Linked DNA regions of Macaca mulatta. The protein of the gene in region 1 purifies or fractionates together with the protein of each later gene. This does not show direct contact. Links are inferred from orthologs where the notes say so. Each region holds a gene or a part of one and is shown in the gene's direction. Other genes may lie near its edges. The genes, in order: PPP2R5A and AXIN1.

Evidence for each region.
Region 2: the proteins of PPP2R5A (region 1) and AXIN1 purify together in Homo sapiens (affinity purification with western blotting; 3 studies listed by BioGRID and IntAct, with this or other methods). This does not show direct contact. The link is inferred for Macaca mulatta from reciprocal best matches to the Homo sapiens genes PPP2R5A and AXIN1.

What each region holds. Positions count from the first base shown.
Region 1 is NC_133406.1:70,093,011-70,096,818, forward strand, and holds part of PPP2R5A (serine/threonine-protein phosphatase 2A 56 kDa regulatory subunit alpha isoform), read left to right. Parts: intron 1-1,974; coding exon 1,975-2,025; intron 2,026-2,294; coding exon 2,295-2,414; intron 2,415-2,501; coding exon 2,502-2,629; intron 2,630-3,761; coding exon 3,762-3,808. UniProt on the Homo sapiens protein: The B regulatory subunit might modulate substrate selectivity and catalytic activity, and might also direct the localization of the catalytic enzyme to a particular subcellular compartment.
Region 2 is NC_133425.1:1,567,032-1,571,529, reverse strand, and holds the start of AXIN1 (axin-1), read left to right. Parts: upstream 1-1,674; 5' UTR 1,675-1,949; intron 1,950-2,065; exon of another isoform or gene 2,066-2,357; intron 2,358-2,410; exon of another isoform or gene 2,411-2,558; intron 2,559-2,586; 5' UTR 2,587-2,588; coding exon 2,589-2,666; intron 2,667-4,498. UniProt on the Homo sapiens protein: Component of the beta-catenin destruction complex required for regulating CTNNB1 levels through phosphorylation and ubiquitination, and modulating Wnt-signaling.

The sequences.
Region 1 (3,808 bases):
ATCTAGGTGTAAGTACACACTACGATGTTTAAATGATGAAATTGCCTAACGACACATTTCTTAGAACGTATCCCCATCATTAAATGACATATAACTGTATTTGTAATCTTCTATGATCTTCAGTAAAGTTTTATACTTTTCTTCATATGTCTTAAATATTTCTTGCAAATTTATTCTTTATGCACATTACAGTTCTTATGAAAAGTACCTTTTTTATTATTCATCTGATTTTTACTGATGTTTTATAAAGGTATTGATTTTTATATACATATTTTTTAATGTGGCCACATACTGAATTTTCCTACTCTAGTAACTTGCAGGTTTTTTTTTTTTTTTTTTTAAGTTTTAGGGGATATATAAATATATATTTACACAAGTAATTGTAATTCTGGTATTCCTTTCCAACATTATTCATCACATTGTTATCTTACTGGATTATCTCCAAAACAATATTCTTCTCAATTTTAATTTGAATTAGTGTTCCACATTACTGAACCAGACAGACTATAAAGTAACCTAAAAAGCTATCAAAGATCTACTTCCACAAAACCACCAGGACTAGATGGTTTTACAGCCTGTCTCTAATAAATCATTGTGTAGAATGATTACTGGTGGTTTCTGATAAATTCATTTAGTTCTAGCTTACTAATTTTTTTTATCAGAATATATAGTTAATTAAAAATGTCAAATGACTTGAAAATCTTTTGAAATGATCTGTTTTTTATTTCCCCCTTTAACCTATGAATCGAACCATCCTGGCATTTCTGGAATAAGTTACAATTAGGCATATAGCATTCTTCTATTGTGATTCAGTTTAATGCAAATGTTTTCAACTATGTTTATTTAAATAAATAGTCTCCACTTTGGGAGGCCGAGGCTGGTAGATCACAAGCTCAGGAGTTTAAGACCAGCCTGGCCAAGATGTTGAAACCTGTCTTTACTAAAAATACAAAAATTAGCCAGGTGCGGTGGCAGGCGCCTATAATGCCAGCTACTCGAGAAGCTGAGGCAGAGAATTGCTTGAACCCAGGAGGCTGAGGTTGCAGTGAGCCAAGATCACACCACTGTGCTCCAGCCTGGGCGACAGAGTGAGACTCCGTCTCAAAATAAATAAATAAATAAGAATAGTCTCTTTTGTTTCATTGTATTCTGGTTATAAAGATTGTACTAGCCATGAAATAGACTGGGAAGCTGTCCGGCTCTTTTTTGTGCTTCATACTGGTTTAAATAACAGGAATCATCTGTTCCTTAAGGTTTCTCCCTAAAATAACCTCCCTCTTACCCCACCAACTTGTATTTTCCTTTATTTTCTTAGAAGTAGCACATACTGGCCGGGTGCGGTGGCTCAAGCCTGTAATCCCAGCACTTTGGGAGGCCGAGACGGGCAGATCACGAGGTCAGGAGATCGAGACCATCCTGGCTAACACGGTGAAACCCCGTCTCTACTAAAAAATACCAAAAAACTAGCCGGGCGAGGTGGTGGGCACCTGTAGTCCCAGCTACTCGGGAGGCTGAGGCAGGAGAATGGCGTGAACCCGGGAGGCGGAGCTTGCAGTGAGCTGAGATCCGGCCACTGCACTCCAGCCTGGGCGACAGAGCGAGACTCTGTCTCAAAAAAAAAAAAAAAAAAAGTAGCAGCACATACTATTAAATTTTTATGTGTTTAATTGATCACTTGCATTGGTCTTGCTCCATTAGAATGTAAGCTCTATGAAAACCAGAGACCTCATCTATCTTATACATCAGTGTGTCCCTAGCATCTAGAACAATATCTGGTACATAGTAGGCACTCAGTAAATATTTGTTGAATTAATAAAATTCTAAAGCTGAGCAGAAAGTCTGCTTATACACTTATATATTAAGCAATATTGATTTACTTCAGAATGAGTGTTGATATAATCATAGCTATGGAAAATACCCTGGGATTAACTAGCTTCATTGTTAAATTCACGCTAAACTTTTTCTTTTTCGCAGGTGATCAGAGGACTGCTGAAATTTTGGCCAAAAACCTGCAGTCAGAAAGAGGTGGGTTTTGTTCACTAAATGTAGTGCATTTTACTAGAACTTGTCAATCCCAGGGCTATGCTGCTTTGGGCTAGCTGTATTGCTGTTGCTAACGAGCGGGAGATGTACACAGACTTGGTAGAAGACTTGTGCTATAATAAACTCTGTGCCACCCAGACATTTTTTTTGCCCATTGTATACTCTGCAGATTAACCTTCTCATTTGTATGGTTTCTATATTAGTTTCACATAATTTATCATGTTTCTTAAAATAAAATTTTTTTAACCTAGGTGATGTTTTTAGGAGAAATTGAAGAAATCTTAGATGTCATTGAACCAACACAGTTCAAAAAAATTGAAGAGCCACTTTTCAAGCAGATATCCAAGTGTGTATCCAGTTCTCATTTTCAGGTATGATGTTTTCAGTGAAGCCCTTACTTTACACTAGTATTTCTTTCCTATTTTAGTTTTGACATTTCTCTAAATGTCTTTTTTTAGGTTGCAGAAAGGGCATTGTACTTCTGGAATAATGAATATATTCTTAGTTTGATTGAGGAGAACATTGATAAAATTCTGCCAATTATGTTTGCCAGTTTGTACAAAATTTCCAAAGAACACTGGAATCCGTAAGTATCTTTTATATAGGTCGTATTTTTATTTTTCTTTCTTTATTTTTTTTAAAACCTTTTTGTCATTGATTTCCTAACTCATACCTGAAACCTATTACAGATTTGGAAGTTACTCCAAGGTTAACATCAGTTGTATTCTGTTTTGTATTTTATATACATATACCTTTATCAAGTTATAAATGTGTGTGTATGTTCTTCACTATGTGGTCTTAATGTCAATTTATTTTTTAACTTTTTTTAGAGACAGTCTTGCTCTGTTGCCCAGGCCGGAGTGCAATGGTGTGATCATAGCTCACCATAGCCTCAAACTCCTGGGTTCACGCAATCCTCCTGCCTCAGCCTCCCGAGTAGCTAGGACCACAGGTGTACACCACCATACCCAGCCAATTTTTATTTTTATTTTTTTGGACACTTGAGGTCTTAGTATATTGCCCAGGCTGGACTGAAACTCGTGATCTCAAGTGATGATCTCACCTTGGCCTCCCAAAGTGCTGAGATTATAGGCATGAACCACTGTGCCCAGCCTTCATATCAATTTAAAATTGCAAATCTCCCTGGAGGGTGGACTATCTGGTATACCATTCTGCACCAGAGTGTGGTGAAACCCTGTTGGAGAGACCAACTGAACATTTGCAGAGGATGCACAAACTACTTCGTTAATGCAGAGTTGTGTTGGTCTGCTCCCAGTGTATAGTCTCACCTCTATAAGTGGCACTGTCCTAGGGGAAAGCCGAAGTGCTAAGGGTAATATATTCTAACTTCTTTAACATCCTTATCTGGCTTTCTACTTTTCTTATAAGTTTTGGTAATTGGATCTTTTTCATCTTTTAATGTTGTTACTCAGGATTTCAGACATGAGACTGTAAAGCAGAAATGAAGATAACTATAGTGAACATTTTTAACTACAATTTAAGCATGATAAAGTGGAAAAGATTTTTCTTAGACTCTCTCTACCACCACTTGCTGTATGACCTTGAGCATATTACAAACCTCTTGAGCCTCAGTTTTATCATCTCTAAAATGGATTAAATGAATCAGCCAACCTTTAAACCATTTTAGAGACCATAGTGTTAACATTTCCTCTCTGTTAGCAGTATCATAACTCAGGACTGGCTCATTTTCATTTCAGGACCATTGTAGCACTGGTATACAATGTGCTGAAAACCCTAATGGAAA
Region 2 (4,498 bases), on another chromosome or scaffold:
GCTGTTAGGAAAGGCCCTGAAGGGCTGTGGGCACCAGAGAGCCCTGGGAGGCCTAAAGCAGAGGGCAGATAGATGAGGGTCGTTGGCTCAGGTGTGGGGTGGACGAGGTGGGGAGCCCTCACCCAGCAGGAGGCGAGCTGGTCCTGTGTGGCCTGAACTGCAGCTGTCTCCTCTGTTAAATGGGGGTATAGCTGACCCCAGGGGGCTGCCTGGGGCGTCCTGGGAGGTGTCAGGCCCAACAGTGCTCTGGGAAGGACAGGGCTGATCCTGGTACTGACATCCTCCTCCTTGGGGGAGGCAGGGCCTGATGGTCGGCTGAGGCCTGGGTGGAGAGCAGAGGGTTGGTTCTGACAGGGTTGGGCTGGCCAGAGCTGGTGTGGGGGCTGCTGCTGGGGTCCTGTGCCTCTCTGCTGTGGGATGCCTGGGGCTGTGGCCTTGTGCTCTGTGGCCTGCAGGGCAGGTGGCACGGATCTGGGCAGCCAAGATGGCAGGATTGGACTGCACCCCTTGGCAGGGCCGCTGTGGAGACAGCCCAGGGGAGGGGCTGCAGGGTTTCAGACACTCCAATGGCCTTCCTCTCAGGCTGGCCTGGGCAGCGGAGGGAAGGAGAACCCTTCTCTGATACTAGATGGTGCCTGGGAGAAATCAAGGCAGAGGGTCCTAGCCGGTGGGCTCCTTGGAGGTTGTGGCTCCTGTCCGGGTGACAGCCAGCACATATTGGGGCCTAATGTGTTCCCTGGCGCTGTGAGTCCCGGCTGCCTGGGGACTCAGGAGGGTGGAGCCCACGCCACCTTCCAAGGGACCTGGCCATCCCTGCCTGCCGACCACCCAACTCCTGGGAGCCTGCTTCCCTCACGGCGGCTGGCAGGCCGTGGCGGTCTCCGCGGGGGCCTCCGGTCCAGGGCCGGCGGGGCAGGGAGCCCCGAGGCCTGCAGCCCCCTGGATGCCCACCGATGTACTGGCGGCAGAAAAGGGCTGCGCCCCGCGTGCGCCCGTCGGGGCGGGCAGTCCGCCCAGCGCTCCCCACGGTCGCAGCCATTCCAAGCACCTGCAGCGGCGCCTCCCCCACTCCGCACTCCGGGAAGCCGCAGCCGCCGCGGCTCTGCTTCCGCGTCGCCCCTCGGGAAGACCGCGCGACCACGCCCCCGCCGCGCCCCGCCCCCGGCAGGGGCTGACCACACCCCTCTCCCGCTCACGCAGAGGCCCTGCCCCATGCTTCTCACCTCGTCCTCGCTTCCGGCCCCGCCCCGCGCACGAGGCTCCGCCCCACGCTCGTTACCTCTTCGGCTCGAGGCGGGCCCCGCCTTGCTCCCTGGCCGCAGCCCCACTCCCAAGGCCCCGCCCTGCGCTCTTCACCTCGTCTTCTCGCTTCCGGCCCCGCCCGTGCTTGGGCCCCGCCCTGCGCTCCTCACCTGTCCAATCGCTGTCTGCCCCGCCCCACGCTCCTCACCTTATCCTCGCGCTTTCAGCCACGCCCCGCGCCTGAAGCCCCGCCCCACGCTCTTTACCTCGTCCCCTCGCTGTCGGCCCCGCCCCGAGCTGAGGCCCCGCCCCGCGCTCTCACCTCGTCCCCGCGCCCCGGCCCCGCCCCCGCACTTCCGGGCGCCGCCGGCGGGGGCGCTCGGGCCTGGGCTTCGGCGCTCTGGGCTCGGGCTCCGGCTCCGGAGGCAATCGTGGCCGCTGCCGCCGCCAGAGCCGGCCGGAGTCGACCCGGAGCCGCGTCCACGCGGAGCGGGCGGGTGGGAGCTGGCGGCTGGGCCCCTGCGGCGCCCCCGCGGCCTGCCCCGCGTCCGCCCCCGGGCCGCCGAGCCGCAGCCGCCGAGATGGGGGCCGCCCCGGGCCGCGCCCCCGCCGAGTCCCGCCCGCCGCGCTGCCGCTGAGCGCATGGGCCGGGCTGCGCCGCGCCGCTCCGGGAGCCGGGCCCGGGGCCCCGCCGCCTCCGCGCGCGGGTGAGTAGGGCCGGGCGCCGGGGCGGGCTAGGCCGCGCTAGGCCGGGCGGGCGGGACCCGGAAGCGGCGGGGGGCGCGGGTGGCTGACGCGCGTGGGGCCGAGGGGGTGGGCGCGCGGGGAGCTGGGGCAGGGGTGTCCCTGGGCAGCGAGACCGGCGGCGCGGGGGCCGCTTGGAGTTCCGAGGCCTCGGGCGCGTCTGGGGGCGCGGAGCAGCTGCAGGGGCCGCGCATCGCGTGCGGGAACTCCGGGAGAGCCGGGCCTGGAGCCCTCCCCGCCTCCCAGAAGTCGGCAGGAGTCCGGCTGCCCCGGAGGAGGGCACTCCCGCCCGCCCTCGCCGAGGCCGCGTACCGGGTCCAGGTCGCGGTGCGGCCTGAGTAGCCGCGTGCTCAGGCGTTCGTGCCCTCCAGGTTTGATGCCTCGCTGCCCAAACACTCGTCTCTCTCTTGGGTGTGGTTCCTAGATTCTACCTCCCGCCCGGCACTTTGGAATTTAGCCCCCAGTGAAACCAGAGCTGCATTGCCTGAGCAGTGAAACTTTCGGCTTGGCATTGAAGAAAGTAGAGAAAAACATGTCAGTTCTCTAGGGATTTTTCTCAGCCCATCTATAAGGTAATTTTTTTTTTTTTTTTTTTTGTAGAGATGAGGTGTCACTATATTGCCCAGCAAGTGTTGTTGAACTCTTGGCCTCAAGCGATCCACCTGCCTCAACCTGCCAAGGTGCTGGGACTACATGCGTGACCACCGCCCCCTCTAAGATAATTTTTTTTTTTTGAGACGGAGTCTCGCACTGTCGCCCAGGCTGGGAGTGCAGTGGCGCGATCTTGGCTCACTGCAACTTCCACCTCCTGGGTTCAAGCAGTTTTCCTGCCTCAGCCTCCTGAGTAGCTGGGATTACAGGCATGCGCCACCACGCCCGGCTAATTTTTCTATTTTTAGTAGAGACGGGGTTTCACCGTATTGACCAGGCTGGCCTGGAACTCCTGACCTCAGGTGATCCGCCCACCTCGGCCTACCAAAGTGTTGGGATTACAGGTGTGAGCCACCGTGCCTGGCCCCTTCTAAGATAATTGATAAAGGGTGCAGTGCAATAGTGCGATCTCTGCTCACCGCAATCTCCGCCTCCCAGGTTCAAGCGATTCTCCTGCTTCAGCCTTCCCAAGTAGCTGGGATTATAGGCATGTGCCACCAAACCTGACTAATTTTGTATTTTTAGTAGAGTTGGGGTTTCTCCATGTGGGTCAGGCTGGTCTCAAACTCCTGACCTCAGGTGATCCGCCCACCTCGGCCTCCCAAAGTGCTGGGATTACAAGGGTCAGCCACCACACCTGGCCTCAGTTTCAGTTTTAAGATCTCCATTCGGGGACAAGGATGGGAAAGCATGAAAAACAGTGTTTTTGTTTGATTTTCAGCTGGTGTTGACTTGGATTTCTAGTTTCAGAAAAGCTAAGCAGACTTTTTCGGATTACATTAGTCACTGAGAATTTCAGTGATGGGGGAACAAATTACATGTGAAATAGTAGCCCTGAACCTTCAAGAGTTAAATCAGTGGACAGCTGGGAAGATGTCAGAGTCGTGCTGTTTTACTTGCATCCTCCATGTAAATCAAAATTTCAAAAGTTAAGTTTGGGTAAAATAAATACCTACACACGTAGGTAGCACTGAGTTTGCTGCCATGGTGCCTGGGGCATATGCCTAAGCAGTGATGAAAGGGAATTTTAAATACGATATCAGACTTGTAGGCATCCTGCCCATTTTATGGACTCACTTTATTGATGGTAGCTACAGGCTGTGGGCCAGATTCAGTGCTTGCGGGCATTTGATGCTAACCTGAGTAAACATAACTGCTTTATGTGTGGTGTCTACGTGTGTGTACACTAAATGCTTGGTGTGCTTCCATGTGGAAACCCAGAGATTTCAGGAATTGGGATATGTTTTAACAACATCAGTAACTTGTGGAGGGGTTCATGTGCTTCCAGGGACACCAAAAAGTCTTCTGTCAGTTGACAGCCCAAAATACACATGATTATAAAAAAATTTTCTCCTGGGCTCTGAAAAATAGTTTAAAATAATTAAGGTGGACTTGGTTCACACATGAATTAAAACATTAGTTTTGGGGCCAGGCAAGGTGGCCTGTAATCCCAACACTTTGGGAGGCCGAGATGGGCAGATTGCTTTGAGCTCAAGAGTTTGAGACCAGCCTGCCCAACATGGTGAAACCCCATCTCTACAAAAAATACAAGAATTAGCCGGGCGTTGGTGGCTCCTGCTTGTAGTCCCCGCCATATGAGAGGCTGAGGCTGGAGAGTTGCTTGAGCCTGGGAAGCTGAGGCTGCAGTCAGCTGAACTCGCCCCACTGCACTCCAGCCTGGGCGACAGAGCGAGACCCTGTCTCAAAATAACAAAAAAAACCAAAACAATAAAACCCATTAGTTTTGGAAGAATTTGCTGCTGTTTTCTGTAGTACAGTAGTTCAGCATCTGTAGAGAGCCAGTGTTTGGCATCTGTGACAAATGTCTGTCTTTTTTACATCAATGAATTAAATCAAAGAA